Drosophila melanogaster: one gene and its partners. The main gene of each other region encodes a partner of the protein of the gene in region 2 in a complex. Each region holds a gene or a part of one and is shown on either strand. Other genes may lie near its edges. The genes, in order: eIF3c, eIF3m, eIF3g1 and eIF3d1.

Region 1 (6,717 bases), 3.5 Mb from region 2:
TGAAAAGGGTGTTGTCCAAATCCCCGAATAAAACATGAGCTCAAGATTCTGATTACGACTGTAACCTTTATGTCTGCTCCTCCTAAATTGAAATGAAAAACACGCAGAATTTATAGTGCATGGAAAGAAACTATTCAATTTATTCGCAAAAGAGTTTTGTAGTAAGCGGACATTAATTTTACAATATGCTCCATTATATTAAAATATCCATAGGAATTAAAATATTTTCAAATTGAGAGAAGGCAAATTATTAAAAATATAATATTATCGAATAAGAAATACTTTATTTCAGGAAAATATTTATCTAAATATAAAGCCATTTTTTCTGTGTAATGGATGATGACGAATTGAATGAAAAAGAAGTGCATCGGTTTTATCAATAAAAACTAAATTAAAATGGAGGCAGGAACGTGGGAGTAGTTATTAGGAATTATTCATTGAAATTGCGTAACTCAACATTTGTATTCAATCAACAGGAAATCTATGCTCGAGCAAGGGCAGAAATCGCATTTAAATGGAAATTTCTATAGTCTGTTTCGAGCATCGGTTTTGAAAATATCCAACCCATATATAGGATTTATGGGGCCGCACAAGCCGTAACAATCCAACGGAAAACGGAAGCAAAATAAACAGCACAAAAGCGTAACGGAAACAGAAACAGAACCCCAGGAAAAAGGGGCCCGTTTTTGCCGATTTGGATGTATGTAAATGCATATAAGCTTTTGCACCCACACACAATTTACGATTGCAGCTGCAGTTTCGGAGGAGTCAAGGAGCAGAAACCCGTACTATTTCACGGACCCTTTACGGATTCAAATGTCGATAGGCGGACAGGGAATTTATGGAGCTCTCATCAATTTCTCCGGATAATAAAGCCGCCATATGCACTCTCGAATGTCAGCTGTCGAAAAGCCAGGAAAAGGGCGATTACGCGAGATTAACCGATCAATTTTTAATTTGCCATTTCCGAGACCGCAGATACACACATCTCCATCAATCTGCAGTTATTATTTATTATGCTTACATTTGCGTTAAAGTGTTTTCCGTGTTACTCGTGTTTTCAAGCGATTCCGGGCGTCGCATCTCATTTAGGATGCCACTTAAACAGGATGTGGATGGGCAGAGCACATGCCACGCACACACCGCACACTTGGGCCAAATTTTGTTTACACCGCCAAGACACAACACAACACACAAGAATTCAAATGAATGAATTTATTGAATTCTTTTTAGCGGGCCGCAAAAGCACTTGAGACTCTATCGCCGGATATTGGCATCAACGCTGCCAAATCGCCGAGTACATCCGAAAAATTGAGTTTTTGAACTTGAACTGTCCGTCGGCGCGGAGGAGAGAACGCATGCGACTTGTTGGCGCGCGCGAAAACGTTTGGCTTGGTTTTGCTTTGGCCTTTCCTTGGCTGCCTGGCTGCATGTTGGCCGGACCAATTGATCCGGAGATTGGTTGGGGCGCCAGAATGGGAACCCCACTCTGTTTGGCTAAGAAATGCCGGCACTTTTGCACGCAAGCGCAGCAACATGTTGCTGGCAACTTCAAATGTTGCAGGTCACCAATGCAACATCTATGTAAGCATTGATCACTGATTATCTTTTTAACATTATTTTGAATAGTTACTTAAATGGCCACTATTTCATTTTGATGATATATTTGCTATGTAATTTAATGGATTTATTTTAAATGTACCGCCCAACCGGTTACTTGATATCGATATATCTCGAGAAGTGCCGGCATTTCGTTATCGATGAGTACGCGCTCGCATTCAGTCAAAACAGTGACTCCCTTAGAGATGGGATAGATTTCGGTAACTGTTGGTCCGCCACATAAAAAAACAAATGTTCTGTTACATTTAAAAAAATGTTTAAAACGCTCTCCTTACGAATATTAGTAGAGAGTAATCATTTCTCAACATGACAGTTATTATTAATACATAAATCAAACGCCCCGCCCCGTGACTTTGAGCAATATATATCGCCAACGAAAACACATGCAACCATCGCCCATCTCTAGTCTCTCTTTTTGATGTCTTGTGCATTCGACATCGTTTAGTTTTGCTGTAAAATAGTAAGTTTATTGTGAAATATCAAACGCCAGGTGGTAGTAAACACTTAAAAAGCAAGGCAGTGAACCGATTTCTGCCAGGGCTTCGAATGAAACAACCAAATGTCATGCGGAAATATTTGGCATACGTTTTTGCAAAACGCCATGTTGGCCGCTCAAACATAACCTCAACAAAGCAAAATCTTATGTGGCCCGAAACTAATAAATTGTGATTCCAGGCGCAGACAAACGGCCGCGTAGAAAGTCAACAAAGATGTCGCGTTTCTTTGCCAACGGGTCCGAATCGGAGTCCGAGTCCAGCGAGGAGGAGATCCAAGCGACCAACTTCAACAAAGCCAGCGCCTTCGTAAGTGCCGCCCAGATGTGAAACTCATCCATTACTAATCTATTCCTTTCCGTGGAAAACAGCAATTCAGCGACGATGAGGAGGAGGTCAAGCGCGTGGTCCGCTCCACGAAGGAGAAGCGTTACGAGAACCTCACCAGCATCATCAAAACCATTCGCAACCACAAGAAAATCAAGGATATTCCCAATACCCTGAGCAGCTTCGAGGATCTGACGCGCGCCTACCAGAAGGCACTGCCGGTCATCTCAAAGGAGGAGAACGGCATTACGCCGCGATTTTACATTCGCTGCCTGGCCGAGCTGGAGGACTTCATCAACGAGGTGTGGGAGGATCGCGAGGGCAGGAAAAACCTTTCCAAGAACAACTCCAAGTCGCTGGGCACTTTGCGCCAGAAGGTACGCAAGTACATCAAGGACTTCGAGGACGATCTGTCGCGTTTCCGTGAAGCACCCGACCAGGAGAGCGAGGCCGAGGACGAGGTGGTTGCCCTGGAGAGCGACGGCGGCGATGCTGGTGATGACAGCGACGCCGGAGTGAAGCCTACAGAAGCGGTTCCGAAAGCTGTGAAGTCCGCGCCGGCAAAGGCTGCGCCCGCCGATGATGACGATTCCGATGACTCCATTGATTGGGACTCGGACTCTGAATCGGAGACCGAGTCCTCTGACGATGAGAACCAGTATCAGAACATGCGCGAGCGATTCTTGAAGCGTACTACCGAAAAGGAGGAAAAGGATGATGACAAGAGGAAGGACAAGCGTAAGGAGCAGAAGACCAAGATCCGCAAGCGCGCCGAGGACGATGAAGATGGCGAGTGGGAGACTGTGGTCAAGGGTCATGTAGTAGAGAAGCCCAAGATGTTCGAAAAGGACGCAGAGATCGATGTTCCCCTAGTGCTGGCCAAGCTGTTGGAAATTATGTCGGCTCGCGGCAAGAAGCGCACCGATCGCCGTCTGCAGATCGATCTGCTTTTCGAGTTGAGGGACATCTCTGATCAGCACAACCTGGGAACCGCCGTCTCCGTGAAGATTCATTTTAACATCATCTCGGCTATCTACGATTACAACCAGAAGATTTCCGAGCCCATGAAGCTAGAACACTGGGCCCTGCTTCTGGAGGTAATGCAGAGCATGATGAAGCTCCTGCTGGCCAACGCCGACATTATTATGAGCGAGAGCGTGGCCGAGGAGCATGAGGAGTACGCTACGTCACCGTTTTATGTGAGGGGATGCCCACTGGCTGCCGTGGAGCGCCTGGATGACGAATTTGTTAAGCTGCTGAAGGAATGCGATCCACACTCCAACGACTACGTGTCCCGGCTGAAGGACGAGGTGAACGTGGTTAAGACTATTGAACTGGTGCTGCAGTATTTCGAGCGCTCTGGCACCAACAACGAGCGCTGTCGCATCTACCTGCGCAAGATCGAACATCTCTACTATAAGTTCGATCCGGAGGTGCTGAAGAAGAAGCGCGGTGAGCTGCCAGCCACTACCTCCACCTCCGTAGACGTGATGGATAAGCTGTGCAAATTCATCTACGCTAAGGACGATACGGATCGTATCCGTACGAGGGCCATCCTGGCGCACATCTACCATCATGCTATGCACGACAACTGGTTCCAGGCCCGTGATTTGGTGCTGATGTCTCATCTGCAGGACAACATTGATGCCGCCGATCCCGCCACCCGCATCCTGTACAACCGTATGATGGCCAATCTGGGTCTGTGTGCCTTCCGCCAGGGCAACGTCAAGGATGCGCATCACTGTCTAGTGGACTTGATGGTCACCGGCAAGCCCAAGGAGCTGCTCGCTCAAGGACTGCTGCCTCAGCGCCAGCACGAGCGATCTGCCGAGCAGGAGAAAATCGAGAAGCAACGCCAGATGCCATTCCATATGCACATCAACCTTGAGTTGCTTGAATGTGTCTACCTGGTGTCCGCTATGCTGCTCGAAATTCCTTACATTGCCGCCCATGAATTCGACGCCCGCCGCCGCATGATCAGTAAGACCTTCTACCAGCAGTTGCGTTCCTCGGAGCGTCAATCACTGGTGGGTCCACCAGAGTCGATGCGTGAGCATGTCGTGGCTGCTGCCAAGGCTATGCGTTGCGGCAACTGGCAGGCGTGTGCCAACTTCATTGTCAACAAGAAGATGAACACGAAAGTGTGGGACCTCTTCTACGAGTCTGATCGCGTGCGCGAGATGCTGACCAAGTTCATTAAGGAAGAATCGCTGCGCACCTACCTGTTCACCTACTCGAACGTCTACACCTCGATCAGCATTCCTTCGCTGGCGCAGATGTACGAGCTGCCCGTGCCGAAAGTGCACTCCATCATCAGTAAGATGATCATCAACGAGGAGCTCATGGCCAGCCTGGACGATCCATCCGAAACCGTGGGTATGCATCGTTCGGAGCCATCGCGTCTTCAGGCCCTGGCCATGCAATTCGTGGACAAGGTCACAAATCTGGTGGACGTCAACGAAAAGGTGTTCGACATGAAGCAGGGCAACTTCTTCCAGCGCGGCAACATGGGCAATCGCGGTGACCGTGGCTACAACCGCAACCAGAACAACCAGGGCGGCAATTGGCTCGGCCAGCGGCGGGATCGCAACAACCGGAACCGTAACCAGCGCGGGCACCACAAGAACAACCAAGATAGGCAGCAGCAGCAACAGCAACAAGTCCAAACGATCGACGAGGAGTAGACGTTGCTGCAACCTCAGCCCATCCTCTCTAGCGAGCGTTAGCTTAAACATCAGCAAAACTTAAACAGATCAAATTTGTAGCACTTCGACTATTAAAATGGAATGGCCATGGACAACACGTTGGGTCACATGCTTTCAGGCCTCCGATTCGGTTTCAGGCTGGGTCGGAGGTCTGTTTTTATCATGTCCATTGCATATTGTTGTAGCCAAGTCACACGAACATTTGTTTCAGCGCTCATTACGTTAAATGATAATACTAATAACTACATTTTGTATGAACCCAAAACCGAAAAAGAAACCTTAAAAACAAGAGACACAAAATCAGTGACTTTTTTTTGCAAATTTTTACCAACAACTAATATTAAATTTATATGTACTAACAAGAGTATTATTTTAGTCGGCTTAACACTTTGGCTTTTGAAAATTTAAGAAAACTAAGAATAACATTTGAATTTCGATGACAAGCTTCGTTTTCTGCAAAACTTCGGATATCGATATGCTCTTTTTTTCTCACATCTCTGAAACCTTTTCTTCAGTAGTACCGTTCGACGTACCTTTGTCACATTTTTTCGGAACTCTATAATAGGCATTATAAATTAAAACCAAAATATACCTAGTAAACAAATGAGCAGCGTTGGCGAGGATTGCAACGAGCTGAAGCAGCAGTACGATGCCTGTTTCAACAGCTGGTTTTCTGAACGCTTCCTAAAAGGTCAAATGGATGACTCAGCGTGTGCTCCGATTTTCCGGGTTTATCAGGAATGCGTCAAGGTGAGCTAATCGGCTCCCTAACCACGTATGGTTTGACCAACCTGTAATCCCCAGCGCGCTATTAAGGAGAAGAAGATCGATTTGCAAGAGATAGATCCGATCTTCGAAACCGGGCTTGAGGAGAATAATGCGAATAGATCTGATGCAAAACAGCAGCAGGCGGGCGAAAGCTGACCCCGTAAGCTGCTCCATATAGCCATCCTAATCCTCGCCAGCGTTAATTGGTGGCTGCACGCGCTACAAAATACTTGTAAAGAGAAACATTTCGTAGTACTTTGACTGTTAATAGTATCATCATGAAACATGGACAACTGATTTCGTTATAACCAGAGTGCCTTTATTAAAATAAATTAGATGTTCTTAAAGAATTGAAAATTCAAATTTCGATAGCACGTTCAGTTTCAACGAAACGTACATCGATATGCTGTGTCCCACATCTCTGATAGCTTATCTGTAGTATGACCCTCACACAAACCATTCTCACATTTTTTTCGACTTATTATTCAATAGAGAAATTATAACTGAAACTCAAAGAGCTTCACTCCACAAATGAACAGCATTGGCGAGGATTGCAATGAGCTAAAGAAGCAGTACGACGCCTGCTTCAACAGCTGGTTCTCGGAAGGCTTCCTTAAGGGCCAGACGGATGACTCGGGCTGCGCGCCGATTTTCCGGGTCTATCAGGAGTGCGTCAAGGTAAGCCCAGGTTTCAAGTTTCATCATCCAGCTGGTTGACCCAATCTTTGACCTTTAGCGCGCCATGAGGGAGCAAAAGATTGAGCTGCGGGAGGTCGGATCTGAGTACTGCACCGGCTCGGAGT
Region 2 (5,144 bases):
GGAAGCATAGCGCTGGAGCCAATCCTTTTTGCAAGCCAAGAATTCCATCGTTTTTGGCCACAGTCACAAAGGCCTGGAAGACACTCTTGTAAGGCTGAGCATGAGATCCTCGGGCGGCCAGCTCTCCCTGTAGTTGAATGCGAGTTTTGATCACCTCGACGGGATTGGTGAAGACACCAGCGCCCATGGCAGCCACGCCGCCCAGCACAAAATCCGACGTAGCCATCAATGAGACGTCCGTTCTGTATCACAATCTAGTGATCACTAACGCCACACTTGCGATAAGCTAGCTGCTTAAGACTTGAGAGCAATATGCGTTAAAATGTAACAGTTAAACTGGTTTATTTCACCAAAATATTGCACGGTTAATGGCTACAGGAAGAGCTCTTAAATTAGCTTAATGAAGGCACAAGTTGGTTCTGGGGCTTTGCTAATCTAAGAGATTGGAACTAGGACATTAAGCTAACTCACTAAAGACTAAAGCCAGATTTAGACAAACAAATTGTATGCGGCGGCACTTGCATATCAAATTTGTTTATCAAAGCTTGGCTTAATAATAAAAAGCAATGTGTATATTTCCGGGTGGTAAAAACGATTTTAACAATTTTGTACTTAAATTAATGCTACCTAGCCAGTGATCTTTGGGGTCATTGATTACTATACTTTGTGCGTACGGCGACCAGCTCGTCAAAGAATAGCAGCACAAGGGTTGAGTGGGGGGCAATGCGCAAGTAGTTGGCCCAGAACCCCTTGTACATACCATAAACGCCCTCTGATCGTAGGATTTTCACAAAGCAGTCAAGCCAACCGCGATAAAGAAGACCGCGTCCTTCGGCGTCTACGCCCTGATTGTACAGACGCGTGGTGATTACATCTGGCGGCGTTATGGCCACCGACATAATGGATCCGGCTATCAAGCCAGCCGAGAAGGAGTTCAACGTGGGCTGGGTCACCAGATCGTACTGGACCAACAGGGCTTTGGTCTTACCAAAGGTGGCTATCTGGGCACCTGATCCCAAAGCCGCCCTGGGCAATGCGGCCACAGATCCTCTCCACAGTCCTCGTACTCCATTCCTGGAGTAGATCTGACGCAGGGCATCTGTCATGGAAGTATGGGCATGTTGGTAGCCAACGGCGATTTGCTTGGCGGCTTGTGATTGCAGCTGAGTTTTGATCTGGATGCAAAAGAAAGGACCATAAATAATAATATAGAAATATAGACATTGTACATAAGAGAATTGACTGTGATAATATGTTAATGTTTACAATACTTATTAAGTTATTTAGCGAATATTTTTCTGTTTCTAGATCTTGAAAATGTCTTGGTATAAATAGGCTAACAATAAATGCGTTATGTCATAAAGTAATAAGCAATGCAAACAACCATAAACAGTCAAAAAATATGGAATATTTGGAAGTATAATACTTTCTCCCTGGATATCTTGAAATGGTAGTATTTAGATACTGATGGACAATTGCCAATAAAGTCTCTTATCTGTGGAAGGTCCATAATGCTGATGAGCACGCGGCTCATTTAGATAAACTATGTATTTGTTTATGTAACCTCCCGCAGCATTCCCACAATTGGCGTACCAGGAAAAATGGACTGGAGAAGTAGCACCCCACGACGCCGCCGATGGCGCCCCACAGTAGTCCCATTCCGTAGGACACCTCACCCTTCCGGTTGTGCATCCACCGCCTCTCCATTGCCTCCGAATAAATGCTGAGCCTGGCGAATGTAAATTCAAGATGATTAATAATTATAAAATATAGCTACTAAATAATTCCCCACCGGAAGGAATTGATGATGAACTGGAAGTACAAGGCCGGTGCGAGGCCCTTTTGGAGCCCCGTAATGCCATCATTTTTGGCCACCGTAATGAAGGCATTGACAATCCCCTTGTAGGGCTCCACATAGGTACCCCGTGCCGCCAGCTCGCCCTGCAGCTGGATCCGTGTCTTGATCACCTCGATGGGATTGGTGAAGAAGGTGGCCCCCACGGAGGCCAGGCCGCCCAGAACAAAATCCGATGTAGCCATGTAATCACGAGTTCTGCTGAGGATAGTGGTTGACTAGTAACGGTTGTACCGCCTGCTGCGGAATCTCTGTGGCTCTAGGAAGCCGCACGCTGCGTGTGTGTCGTGTATTTCATAATTCTCCGCCCCGATTAGCTGGCATTACTCCTGCTCTTCTCGCCCGTTATACAAATATAATATAAATTTGGCGAGCAATATAACTTAGTAGCAGCGGAGTTGCCAGACTGTCGCCAAATTAACAATTTAACAAAAATCGTGTCATTTTGCTTAACTGTAAAGTGATAAATGTAAAATAAATAACTGCTGGATGGTAAATTTAAAATTCAGGAGAAACGGGTTTTAGAACGTTAGTAACGGTACGGCTAAGAAGTCACTTAGTGACTTATATGTTTCAGAAGATCCGGGAACACTACTTTTGCCCACATTTATTGTTAGCTAGAGTCCCGTCAAAACATTTATAAAATTGATTTTTATGTCAGCATTAATACACTTGCAAAGCCATAACTATTTTAATTTTATTGAACTGAATGAATTTCAGAGGAATATTATATATTTTAAGTGGCCACGTTAACGTCATCTTAATTTAATTCGGTCAATTGTTTGAGAGCATCGCTATTAGCGGGAAACGGACCAGGCCGGCAGCACTGGTCGCTCTCTTTCCTTTCGAGCTGTCAAAGCGCCGAAGACGTGTGTGCGTGTTATTTTCAGCTGAATTTGTTTAAAAAAGTGGAATAACATTTAACAAAACCATGACTTCGCATCCGGTTTTCATAGACCTGTCCCTGGACGAGCAGGTAGAGTGAAAGTGCCCTGTTTTAGCCATGAATTCGGGCGGCGCCTTGCCCGAATTGAGGTTATGTCTTCCTCTTGCTGCAAAACAAAACTAATATTATTCGCAATTTATTAAAAGGTGCAAGAGCTGCGCAAGTATTTCAAGAAGCTGGGAGCCGAAATCTCATCGGAGAAGTCCAATAAAGGTGTGGAGGATGATTTGCACAAGATCATCGGCGTCTGCGACGTTTGCTTTAAGGATGGTGAGCCCTCGCAGATTGATGGAATTCTAAACAGCATTGTGTCCATCATGATCACGGTGAGTAATACAGAATACAATATTAGCAACAAAAAATAACCTTCAATATTTCAGATACCCCTGGATCGCGGTGAGAACATTGTCCTGGCCTACTGCGAGAAGATGACCAAGGCTCCCAATCTTCCATTGGGCAAGGTGTGCCTTCAGTCGTTGTGGCGTCTGTTCAACAACCTGGACACCGCCTCTCCCTTACGCTACCATGTGTACTACCACCTGGTCCAGGTGGCCAAGCAGTGCGAACAGGTGCTGGAGGTCTTCTCAGGTGTGGATCAGCTCAAATCCCAGTTTGCCAACTGCCCACCTTCGTCGGAACAGATGCAGAAGCTGTACCGCCTGCTGCACGACGTGACCAAGGACACCAACCTGGAGCTGTCTTCCAAGGTTATGATTGAGCTGCTGGGCACCTACACGGCGGACAATGCTTGTGTTGCCCGTGAGGATGCCATGAAGTGCATTGTGACTGCCTTGGCCGACCCCAATACATTCCTGCTGGATCCTCTGCTGTCGCTGAAGCCTGTGCGCTTTTTGGAAGGCGACCTCATCCACGACCTGCTGTCCATCTTCGTGTCCGAGAAGCTGCCAGCGTACGTGCAGTTCTACGAGGATCACAGGGAGTTTGTCAACTCGCAAGGATTGAACCATGAGCAGAACATGAAGAAGATGCGTCTGCTGACCTTCATGCAGCTGGCCGAGAGCAGCCCGGAGATGACATTCGAAACGCTTACCAAGGAGCTGCAGATCAACGAAGACGAGGTGGAGCCCTTCGTCATCGAGGTGCTGAAAACAAAGCTGGTACGCGCACGACTAGATCAGGCCAATCAAAAGGTACACATCTCATCGACAATGCACCGAACCTTTGGAGCACCACAATGGGAGCAGCTTCGCGATTTGCTGCAGGCATGGAAGGAGAACCTCAGCACAGTGCGCGAGGGTCTAACGAGCGTCTCCTCGGCGCAACTGGATCTGGCTCGATCCCAGAAGCTGATACACTAGGCGCACCACTTCCAAAAAATTGCACTGATGATGAACAAATGCTGGCCTCGGGGCACTGGAGTGACGACCTAAATTATTTTCAAGAATGCGAGAGGGCTGGATAACTTGAATAAATTTATAAGTAAAATCGGTAGCAAACAAGTGTTTTCATAAATGCGAGGAATACTTTAATAGCTTACAATTAAGTTGTAGTGTTTTTGAAGGCATTTAACGGGTTTCATTAAAATCCTTTTTAAGAATTAAAGCTAAAAGAATAAAACATAAATATACTGATATTCTTTAAAAGCACTAAATATTGGTAACATTCAAAAGTAAATTCATTAAATTTGTAAGTTGAAACTTTTACCTTAACCATTTAAGAAGTGAAGTCCAGAATATTGCTTAATCAATGTAATAAAACTGTCTAGTATTAGGAAAGAAAACCGAAAAATAGCCTATTCGAGTATTTAAGTAGATAATCCTGTTGCTCCATTACAGCTCCTCGTGCACGTTTGTATGCTTACGATCCTTTTCCTTGGGGAATCCCCAGAAGTACGATGGAAAACCGTGCACATCTCGTTCCCTTTTTTCGAATGCCGAGTAAGAGGATATACAGTTGCCGATAAAGTGGTTCGACTGTCCGAGAATGGCCAAGTCCAGGTAAGGATCATCCTCCGGCAGCTTGTGCACACTGATGCCCATGCGACTAAGGGCCGTGTTTAGTTCACCAATCATGTGATTGGAGTCTGACGCCACGAAAACTGATTTGATTTCGTTGTCCGGCTGAGTTTGGCGCACGTTCTTAATGGTTCTCTTTAGCTGGCGGATGATCGCCTCCTTGGAGGGCATGCAGAGCTCCGGGTAGAGTGCACCACGTTCATTTTTATAGCCCAAGCACTGCGGCGAGGCAAACAGATGCTGGCTATCCTTGACGTGCTCACAGGCTCTCACCCAATCGATACCGTTGCGCAGATGAATGCCCAAAAAGGCACCCCGAGGCAACTGCTCTCGGATGAAATCCTTAGATGCTTCCCTATACCGTTGA
Region 3 (4,416 bases), on a different chromosome or scaffold from region 2:
ATGAGCGGTGGCAGTAGGACACATACCTGCAGTTGGAGCACTTCAGCACCTTGGTCCTGCAACGACGAACCCAAATTAGATAGCTCACAAAGGCAGCCACATGGCGAAACTTACGCCTCCAGGCAGTTATCGCACCGCTCCAGGCGGTACTGTGATTTCAAGACGAAGGCGAATGGTTTCTCCGTGAGGATCCGCTGTCCCCTTTTTATTTGCGGCGCCGGATTCTTTAGGTTCTTGGATTTGGATGAGCATGCGGATGCGGTTGCGGATGTGGTTGCGGATCTGGATGAACCAACGGTGGCGGTGGCCATTTCGCTCGAACGGAGCAACAACAAAGACTTTCGCCTGGGGGCCCGTCTCACTGACGACTGAAAATGAGCGCACACCTGAAGATCAAAAATATTGTTTCGAATGCTTTTTGAATATTTTGCGGCATCTGATTTCTATTTTTGGCCACAAAAACAAACACAATTTACGCAAATCGCTGGCAAACACAAAAACAACAACACCATGGTGTTTATTCGCATGCAAACGATGGCGTTGCCAGATCGGCTGGAATCATGCTTTCTACAGTGGGCACCGCGTAAGGTTAACTTGTTAACCATATGTGGGTAGCTGCATGTCGTTAAAAAATACACTTAACAAATCATATTCAAGTTTTTTAAGTAACAAATAAAAAATATTTCTTTTATATGTTGTTCCCAGTGTCTACGATTTGGTGGCCTTGCGTCCTTTAAAACGAGGGAGAAAGCTATATTAGAGCAAAAGTCGAAAGCATTTGTGTTGGTTGGTCCGCAAAACTAAAGAAGAGCGATTAAGTTATATCAAATATGAAAAATATACGATTCTAGATGCCATTGTATCCTTGCAGAGCATAGTCATCTGGTTTTCGGTGCCCATGGGGGCTGTTTTAAGATTTATTTGTAGCAAACTTAGCATAGCATAGGGACAAATTGTGTGATCGACTCGAACGGACTCCTATGAGCAGTAAACGCGGGTAGTGGGAACGGGACTAACTAATTGTTCTGGGGTTTCGACCATTCGACGCTGAGGATCAAGTGGTCGTAGCCGTGTCCATTGAGGATCTCGATGGCGGCGGCCGCATCCTTGCGCTGCTTGAAGTGCACGTAGGCGAATCCCTTGCAGAGTCCGGTGTTCTTGTCGCGGGCGAGATACATCTTGCTCTGCGGTCCAATCTTCTTCACCAGCTCCTCGAGATCCGCCTCGGTCATCGACTCCGACAGATTCGATATCCTAATGGCGGCCGTGTCGTCGCGTCCGCGCATTCCCAGCGCGCCCTTTTGGCTGTCCTTGAGGAACGGCGGCACATACTTGCCGGACTTGGGCGCATCGACGGCGGCCGCGGCGGCTGCCGAAGCCTTCTTCTCCATCATATTCGTGTCCATCGCCGTGCCCTTGTACGGGCAGTTGACCGACCAATGCTCACCGTTGCAGATACGGCACTTGGCAATATTCTTGGTGGGATCTAGCAGCGGATCGTTGGCCTTCTCGTCCTCCTTGGAGTTGAGGAACTGCATGATGATCTCCTCGGACACCATGGTCGTCTGCGAGTTGGGGCCGGGCTTGTCGTTCTTCGAGTCGCCGAACTTCGTCCAGGTGCGTCGCTTGGCCACCGTCTTGGGCACCACCTGCTTGGATATCTTGTACGTGCGCACCACCTTCGTCTTCTTGTCGTCCTTGTTGTACTTGTACTCCGTCACGTACTTCTGTCCGTTCTCCACCGTCTCCGTCGTCGGAGGTAGTCCACCATAGTCGAGCTCCACCTCGTCCGCCCAGGAGGATTTGATCGTTTCAACGCCCGGCATCTGAAAGGAATTGAGGGCGCAGTGAGTGGGGCTACACTGGGCGCTTGCTTGGGGTGCACTCACTCTGATTTTCAACGCGATTTGTATGCGAAATCGTAAATGCAAATTTCGCCACGAGTTAAGCGGATTTTTAATCAGCAACAAAAGAGTGTTACCCTGCCGCGGTCACAAAAATATGCCGTGTGTGTCCAAAAAATATACCGCTAATACCACTTTGCACTTTTTGGAATATACCATTTGAAATTTCGTTACATATAAGTTAATAAGTTATCGATTTGATTTTGAAGATCGCAAGCGACCGTTTATTGCAATTTATCATTTGAAACTAAATCTAGCGTACAAAATGTTTCCCTAAGTCCCTAGCAATCAAGTGAAGTCGTCGGCAGCGGCGCAGCAGGCGTCGGCCGCGGCGCAGCGCAGAAGTGTCGATGTCGCGCTTAACCGTTCGTTGGCGTTGATGGCAGCGGAGACTATGTGGAACCACAAGATGTTAGAGAATCAATTGCAGGGCAATAACTCCTCCCCTCTTAATTGACGCTTGTCCTCGAGCGGTCATCATAAGGATGGGATGTTTTTGAGTCGCATCGTTGGTGGGGTGATTCGTGGTAGTTTGGGCACAGCATTAATGGTTTGAATGCCAGGTGTTTATTGTTGCGTGCGTTCGAGGTTTGTGCAACTCGGATGTGTTCTGCATTGACAACTTGATTGCTTCTATTAAAATTCTGGTTTTTACTAAATTACTAATGAATTTATATCTACATATTTTTAGACCATTGGAACCTTTGCAGAAGGCATTGATTCCGTACATTTCGTCTTTAATTGGTAAATTTTATTATTATTCAAATTAAATTATTATTTATTTATTATTATTAGTTTCCTTTACTGATCATGTTTTAAAATATAAGAAATAAGGAATTAACTGATTCAATATGGAGATTTCAATGGCATTCAAATTGTAGTTCCGTTGTGTAAAGCGAGAACGTGTGAAAGTTTTAACATTTATTTGACCGTCAAGGCAGAAATCGGTATATTGTTTTCAAGTAGGCTACTGGTCTCATTCAATTTAAACTCGCTCCGCAGAAACGCATTCACAACGCAATCTCTTCTTTCACGAGCCCAATCTAATTCTGCAAACCTATGGCCAACTCGTCTGTCAAAGTCGAATCGTTTCAAATTTAATTCTCGTGGTTACGTTAATCAGTATGTTTAATGTTTCTATGTTCTACTTGTCTATCGATGTGGCCACAGTAATTATTCTGAAGCAATCATGATCTTATGTTACTTTTATGTACTAATTTCCCTGATTCTGTTAATATTGTGGTACTTCGGTCTTCCTTAACTAGTTCCTTCCTAAATCTACTTGATAACTTAGAACCTAATCTTGTATTAACCCTAACGAAAATTTCTTGCCCTTTGATATAGGTTTTTATGGGCTTTCTTGTCCGGTTGTGGTATTCTATGTCGGTTTCCTGTTTTTGCCTAAGTCGGTCTATATTGTCCAGTCTAGCTTGTTCATATTTTTCTGGAGCTACGGTAGCTATCCTGCCGAAGAACACCTCTAGAGGTCGTTTTTTTGTGACAGAATGGACAGTGTAGTTATATTCATAGATGGCCCTATCGAGAAGTTCCTCGAAGCCCCTATGTGTTCCATCTCCTTTCAAACATCTCATTATTTCAGAGAGTGTGGAGTGAAATCTTTCTATCTGTCCATTTACTGTACTCTTATACGGAGGTGCTTTGTAGAGCTCAATACCCAGCTGGTCTGTCAACATGAATTTGATAGAGGCTGAGTTGAGGGACTTTTCATTGTCCATTACTATTAATTTAGGCACTCCATAATAAAACACGATATCTCTTAGGGCTTTCCTAATGTCTTCTACAGCTTTGGATTTGATAACTCTTCCCATGGCCAGTTTGGAAAATTTATCAATCGCCGTGAGCACCAGATGTCGTTCTGTCGAGTAGATGTCAATATGAATAATTTGTCCGGGGTATTCTGGCAAGGGAGTTTGTCTTATTTCTGGATGCGTGGGATGTCTGTCATATTTAGCAGTCTTACACACCAAACACTGATTCACGATAGCCGAAACTTTTTTCCTCATTTTAGGAAAGTATACTCTTTCGGACAACTGAGCTTTATTTTCCACAGCATTTCTGTGTGCTCTGTTATGTGTCCTAAGTATTTCTTCCTCTTGTTCGGCTTCGTTAACAAGGTCTTTGACTTTGCTTTGGCAGAATCTAATCTTGAAACCCTGAAAATGGATGGGGTAGAGAATTTGAATTTTCCCCATTACATCCTCGGATGTGAAAATTCCATTAATCACGGATGGGTTAAGATATTCTTTCAAATCTGACAAGAGACTATCGGGTGTGAACAAGTTGCGATCTACTAAATGCCTTTGAAATGTCGGGAATGGAATGCTAAATGAGTAGTTCTCTGACTCGGACTCCCTGAAGAAAATTTGATTCTTGAATGCGTTTATCGGGGCTTCAACGCTAGGTATCAGCCCATGGCTCGAACTGTCAGAGCTGTGCATTGTTGAGGCTACTGTGTTAATTTGTTCGACTGTCGGTCCTCTGGACAGAGCGT
Region 4 (5,375 bases), on a different chromosome or scaffold from region 2:
GCAACTTATGGTTGCTGAAGGACGGATTCGAGAAGATATAGTCAAGTTGAACACAGATGGGTTTGATTTGAGCGGTATAGCTAAAGACATATGAAATGTATATATATATATATATATGTAGTAAAAGATATGACAGGTCAAGTGCAACTAACCGTACTGGAAACTTCAATCGCAGCAGGGCGATGTCGTTGTAGGGCCTTTCCTCGAAGACCATGTAGTGCCTATGCTTGATACTCAGATCGACGTCAATTTCCAGATGCTCTGGAGCGCAGTGTTCCCTACCATTAATATGGGTGACGCAGTCGGGATTGCTTAAAATGTTATGCTCGCCAAGGCGCACCCTCCTGAGATCCAATCCCGTTATCCTCAGACAATGGGCTGCGGTCAGCACATAGCGGTTTGTGATCAGGGATCCAGCGCACCTGGACACGAGTCTTTCATTCCACACCGAACGGCTGCGATGCGCATATAGAATCAGGGCCATCCAAGGCAACTCGTTGGGTTGCGTCTCCTCTCCTCCGAAAATTCGATAAGCCGGCATGATTGGTCCACATATCTGGGTATTTGGCAAAATGTGTCCCATATTTGGGCAGCAGATGAGAACTCTGTCCAATAATTCCTGCCCCTTGGGGCCATAGCCGCAATATCTGTCCTCGAATACCGCCTTCTCGGCTGGCGTCATGTTGTGGGGCTTCAGAAAGGGCAAGAGTGATGTGCAGCGGGCTAGACTAATGCATTTCTCATCCAGATTACAAGGCGGATATTCTGATACAGTAAAGAATTGGATATTAATAAATATTATATTATGTGAGTCATTTTAATTGGATGTTTAGATAATGATTGGACGAAACAAAGCTATTTATATTTTAAAATTCAAGGAAATACCCATATCCAAATGAATCATTTTCTTGAATGTTATAACGTATACAATGTGGAGTACTTGCAACATATATTACCAGACTCAGCCAGGTACATCAGCAATTGAGTATGCAGGACCAGGAAGGATATGTACACTCTTTGTAGGAAGACCATCTTTAACCGTCAGAGTTTAAACAATGTCTAAATCTTAACTAGATGCCCGACACGCACAATCAGCTTACTATATATGAGTCCGGGAAATGAGTCAGTCATTTACGTACAAGACCTCGGTGTTTCAGTCGAAAGTTTTTATCACAAGTACCCGGCATTAGACCTGGACCAATAAAAATTCATGTATTGTTTCGCCCTCTGTGATTTACTAGGAAATATCTGAATTTAAATCGAATACAAATGCTTAAGCTAGGGCCTATAACATGACCTTTTCCTTTAGAGGACATCAGTTGTGGTTATTCTTAGCGGGTTGTGGCAAAAGAGCCCAAGACTGGAAGGGATGCAGGAGTAGGGGGGCGTGGCGTCTAAATCTTGTTGTGCGCGTAGTTGTAGACCTGCTGGAAACCTTCGTCATCGCCCTCGCCATCGTCCGAGTCATCGGAGTCGAAAGTATTGTCTGGGATGTCGTACAGACGGATGATCGGCTTGTTGGGGTCCTTCATGATCAGGTATTTGCCATCCTTCTGCTTCATCACCAGATCGATGATGCATCTCAGGATTCCCCAGGCGTTGTCCATGCTCAGGTTGATCTGAGTGGCAAATTCATGCGGCTTGAACTGCTGCGTGCCGAGGATGACGTGACGCGAGTGATCTCTCGGATTGATACGCGACACATAGCCGAGCTTTAGCTGATCGGACCCGGCCAGGACGGCCTGCACAGTCCACTTGGCCAGCTTGCATGCGTTGTTCCTCAGCTCGTTGGCGAGCACAGCACCGCGCTGCGTGTCCAACTTTTGACGCCATTCCACGCCATTGGCCAACTTCGAGTCCCACTCGTTGAGTGCCTTGATAGTCATGAACTGCGGCTCGCCGCTTGGCGTCTGCAGGACACCATCGTGCTCGCAACGCGCTACCAGGACCTAAAAGTATAAGACAATAGTTTAACATAATATAGAAAAATATTCCAACTTTAAAGTTGGATTATGCAACACTTACAATATCGCTTCCCAGCTCCCACTTCTTGTAGCGGTAGCCCACGCTGGCGACTTGGATATCTTCGTCCTCGCTGATGAAAGGGTTGCTTTCCTCGAACTTGTATTTGGGTTCCTGGTCTCCAGTCTTAAGCACCTGCTGGCTAAAGTTGTGGTTAATGAAAGTCGCCTCGATGGCCAGGTTGCGAGGGGAGTTGCATGAGCTGTCGTCGTCGGTCGGTGGTTCCACGCTGCTCTCGTTCACGGTCAACAGATCGAACTCGGTGTGGTCACGCTTGTCCATGAACACCTTGTCGCCTAAAATAAGGTTACAATTATTATTTATTTCTCTTATTATTATTATATTTCGTATTTCATTTAACATACCAACTTTCTCGATGACAATATCCCAGGAATAGTTCGATCGCGTAGAGCACATGATGGTGGCCAGGATGGCGTCCGTGGCGAAGACATTGCCGACGGTCTTAGACAAACGCCGGATGACGGGATCGTCTGTGGTGGTCACCGTATGCACGATGCGATCGATCTTCTGCAGCGGCTTCTCGTTCTTCACATTGATGCGGTCGTAGGTCTTGTCGTAGTACTCCAACGTGCCGCAGGTGACAATATCGACGCCCTCCTTGATGTTGGGCAGCGACAGCTTGATGAGTCGCGGGAAGTCCATCTCCTCGATGGATGCCCAATCGGCGCGGACGGCCACCGAAGATTCGCGCATCTTTGGTGGTGGTCCGCGATGACCGAACTTCTTGCCCATGCCGCGACCATGGCGCGGATCGCGGGCCTTTACATTCTTGCCGCTGAGCGTCGTCATGCCGTGAGTATTAAGGCCACCGCGGGCATTCCTGCCACGACCGGAACGCGAATTCCTCATGTTGCGGAACCGGCCGCGCTGGTGCGGCGGCTTCTGGACGCGGGCCGTGTCCACCAGGTGGAAGGTTGTCTCGTCCTCCTCATGGTAGTACGAGTACTGAATGCCCGTGCCAAAGCTGGAGGCATACTTGTCTGCGAATGGAATACCAACCACCAATATGTTAGCAACAATATCATGCCACGACACACCTACCTAACCTCACTTTCGGCGATTAGTATTTTGTGGGTCGGTTTCGGGTGGGGAATAAACTCACTCTGGTACTTCTTGTCGTTGTTCGACGTATTCGTCCAGTCGCAGATCTTGCCCAGACGATCGTTCTTGCTGAACGGCTGGTACGGCACATCCTTGAACGTATCGGGCAGCTCGCAGGGACCCCAGCCCTTTTCATTGAACTGCACGGTCGGCTTCTCGAAGCTCGGGAACTGAGCCGCGGTGTTTATGGTCTCGCTCATCTCGCGCGTTTACCTGGTGCTCAGTCTGCAGTCGGCTATTCGGTCTATATACAGCGATTTTCCAGAAATCAACAAAGAAATGTGGAAAATTCGTATCGTCGCGTGTTGCGAAAATAGTTGAGTGGGACCGTTGTCGCGTTGAAATATACCACCGCCAAAGAAAAATACTAAAATCGTAGCGAATGTTCAAAGGTCTGGCAGCATGCTGTCATAGATGGCGCCACTGCTGGGCGGGAAAACTAAAAATTCGAACTATTCATTTTTCAGAACCTGATTTTACGATTTAATTACAAAGAAAATGCAAAAAATATTTTTTAATAAAAAAATGTATTGTTAAATGAACACAATATTTATTGACAATTATTTAGCTGCTTATTGAACTTTTCCTTATACTTGGCGCAAAAAATGGCATCAAAATGATCAGTTAAGTTTGCTGATAGATCCGCGTTATAAACCTTAAAATCACAAAGTTTTATTTTAGATTTCATGAATTTCTTTCGCATTTAAACTCACGTTATCCAGAGCTACGGCTGGCACTCCCTGAAATGAGACCTTGGCCGTTTCCTTGCCGTACTTCCTCAGAATGTCGTTCACCTGTCGCGTTTTCTTGCAATTTTTGACATCGCCCACGTCGATTTGATAGTGGTCAGCGCACTTTTCCAGCCTGTTCTTCTTACCCCTCATCATGCAGGCGATCAGCTTGAGGGATTGGGCAATGTCATGGTGCTCCAGTATGCAGGCGTGCCACGCGTTCAATTCGCACTCCATCACTCCGTGCTGGCACTCCACATTTCCGTCATCGTTCGTCTGGAGGGGATTAAGCGAAGTTTAAGTGCGGATTAACGCTGATTGACACTCTAAAACTTCAAATTGAGCTATACTATGTACTTGTACTATAACTACTAGTTTAAGCTACGAAAAATGAAACCTACCCTGGCATTTCCATAAGGAACCAGCGTAAGATCAGTGAATGGAAGTCGATCCTGACGGACCATCGAGGGATTGAGCTGCGTGGTCACGAACTCCATGCAGTAGGGACACAATGCTTCGTAGTACAGGGTGATCGCCAGTCGGTCAGCTTGCGGTCCGCGCAAACGCTGCAAAGTCACGATCAATGGGAGCGTCGCAATTCGGGATTCAGTCCGATCAACTGGGTCACTTACCCTTGGCGTGGCCACGCCCACCCATCCCAGCAGCAGACACACAAAGACAGCCGCCCTCATGGCAAATTCAGTTTAATCCCGAGCTGATCTTGAAATATTCGGCCGCTCAACGCCAGCGAACGCTCGACACTGAAATAATTCCGGGACTTGTAATGCGCAGCGTTGTCACTGCGTTTCGTCAAATTCGAAGCGGCCAGTGGCGTGGTTAGAAAATGCTCAAGGGGGGCTCAAAAATCATATAAGTTAAAAAAAAAATAATTATTTGTATTGCAATAGTAGGGTGACTTTTCGCTTGTTTTTTATAATTTTTCTGTAATATATCCGCTTTTGAAAAAATTAATATAAATATATAGATAAAGGGTGTGACTAGCCAACCAATTCGACGCCCCTGCTGTCAACCAGCATTTTCCCCTTTACATTTATGCGCTGACTACGGAAAACTTACTGAGCAGCGGGGTTTTAATCTTATTTTTAGACCACCAGACAGCTGTTTCTGATTAGAATCTGTATACAAAAACATGACTGATAAGCTGATATGTATATACTATACACATGTAAATTTTTATTGGCCCCAAGTGAGTCAGCGAGTAAGCAAACACTCCAGTTGGTTATAATTATTGTTTATTGGTCTTGGAACATTGAAACAGTTAAATTACTCAGTACATTACATAAAAGTTTACAAAATTGCGGAACAAGTGGGCAGTTTGATGTTGAACTTTTTCAGATACTGCCGACAGAAGTGTCTTTCGAAGTTGTTGCGAATGCTTCTCTGGTCGTAAGGATCAAAGTCCTGCGGATCAGAGGGTAATGTTAAGTTAAGTCTGGTATTTGATCATGTAAGCCTGGTTGGGTTGGTTACTCACATTCT

Evidence for each region.
Region 1: eIF3m (region 2) and eIF3c share a complex: the UniProt entries of both Drosophila melanogaster proteins name them as parts of the eukaryotic translation initiation factor 3 (eIF-3) complex.
Region 3: eIF3m (region 2) and eIF3g1 share a complex: the UniProt entries of both Drosophila melanogaster proteins name them as parts of the eukaryotic translation initiation factor 3 (eIF-3) complex.
Region 4: eIF3m (region 2) and eIF3d1 share a complex: the UniProt entries of both Drosophila melanogaster proteins name them as parts of the eukaryotic translation initiation factor 3 (eIF-3) complex.

The regions. Positions count from the first base shown.
Region 1 is NT_033778.4:17,663,737-17,670,453, forward strand, and holds eIF3c (eukaryotic translation initiation factor 3 subunit c), read left to right. Parts: upstream 1-1,941; 5' UTR 1,942-2,080; intron 2,081-2,295; 5' UTR 2,296-2,330; coding exon 2,331-2,423; intron 2,424-2,485; coding exon 2,486-5,125; 3' UTR 5,126-5,249; exon of another isoform or gene 5,250-5,295; 3' UTR 5,296-5,539; downstream 5,540-6,717. Other genes in the region: CG30108 (uncharacterized protein), read left to right, coding at 5,750-5,896, 5,951-6,070; CG30109 (uncharacterized protein), read left to right, coding at 6,446-6,592, 6,651-6,717. UniProt on the Drosophila melanogaster protein: Component of the eukaryotic translation initiation factor 3 (eIF-3) complex, which is involved in protein synthesis of a specialized repertoire of mRNAs and, together with other initiation factors, stimulates binding of mRNA and methionyl-tRNAi to the 40S ribosome.
Region 2 is NT_033778.4:14,162,174-14,167,317, reverse strand, and holds eIF3m (eukaryotic translation initiation factor 3 subunit m), read left to right. Parts: upstream 1-2,492; 5' UTR 2,493-2,786; coding exon 2,787-2,831; intron 2,832-2,947; coding exon 2,948-3,127; intron 3,128-3,181; coding exon 3,182-4,120; 3' UTR 4,121-4,252; downstream 4,253-5,144. Other genes in the region: CG18327 (uncharacterized protein), read right to left, coding at 1-226; CG8323 (uncharacterized protein), read right to left, coding at 648-1,175, 1,594-1,729, 1,793-2,040; O-fut1 (O-fucosyltransferase 1), read right to left, coding at 4,592-5,144. UniProt on the Drosophila melanogaster protein: Component of the eukaryotic translation initiation factor 3 (eIF-3) complex, which is involved in protein synthesis of a specialized repertoire of mRNAs and, together with other initiation factors, stimulates binding of mRNA and methionyl-tRNAi to the 40S ribosome.
Region 3 is NC_004354.4:2,608,357-2,612,772, forward strand, and holds eIF3g1 (eukaryotic translation initiation factor 3 subunit g1), read right to left. Parts: upstream 1,981-4,416; 5' UTR 1,890-1,980; intron 1,827-1,889; coding exon 1,017-1,826; 3' UTR 891-1,016; downstream 1-890. Other genes in the region: Smyd3 (SET and MYND domain containing, class 3), read right to left, coding at 1-56, 115-311. UniProt on the Drosophila melanogaster protein: RNA-binding component of the eukaryotic translation initiation factor 3 (eIF-3) complex, which is involved in protein synthesis of a specialized repertoire of mRNAs and, together with other initiation factors, stimulates binding of mRNA and methionyl-tRNAi to the 40S ribosome.
Region 4 is NT_033777.3:23,678,160-23,683,534, reverse strand, and holds eIF3d1 (eukaryotic translation initiation factor 3 subunit d1), read right to left. Parts: upstream 3,497-5,375; 5' UTR 3,345-3,496; coding exon 3,146-3,344; intron 3,024-3,145; coding exon 2,388-3,023; intron 2,319-2,387; coding exon 2,026-2,318; intron 1,950-2,025; coding exon 1,395-1,949; 3' UTR 1,218-1,394; downstream 1-1,217. Other genes in the region: CG16710 (uncharacterized protein), read right to left, coding at 1-80, 153-765, 957-1,032; GILT2 (Gamma-interferon-inducible lysosomal thiol reductase 2), read right to left, coding at 3,695-3,799, 3,858-4,151, 4,277-4,441, 4,508-4,567; GILT3 (Gamma-interferon-inducible lysosomal thiol reductase 3), read right to left, coding at 5,184-5,297, 5,371-5,375. UniProt on the Drosophila melanogaster protein: mRNA cap-binding component of the eukaryotic translation initiation factor 3 (eIF-3) complex, which is involved in protein synthesis of a specialized repertoire of mRNAs and, together with other initiation factors, stimulates binding of mRNA and methionyl-tRNAi to the 40S ribosome.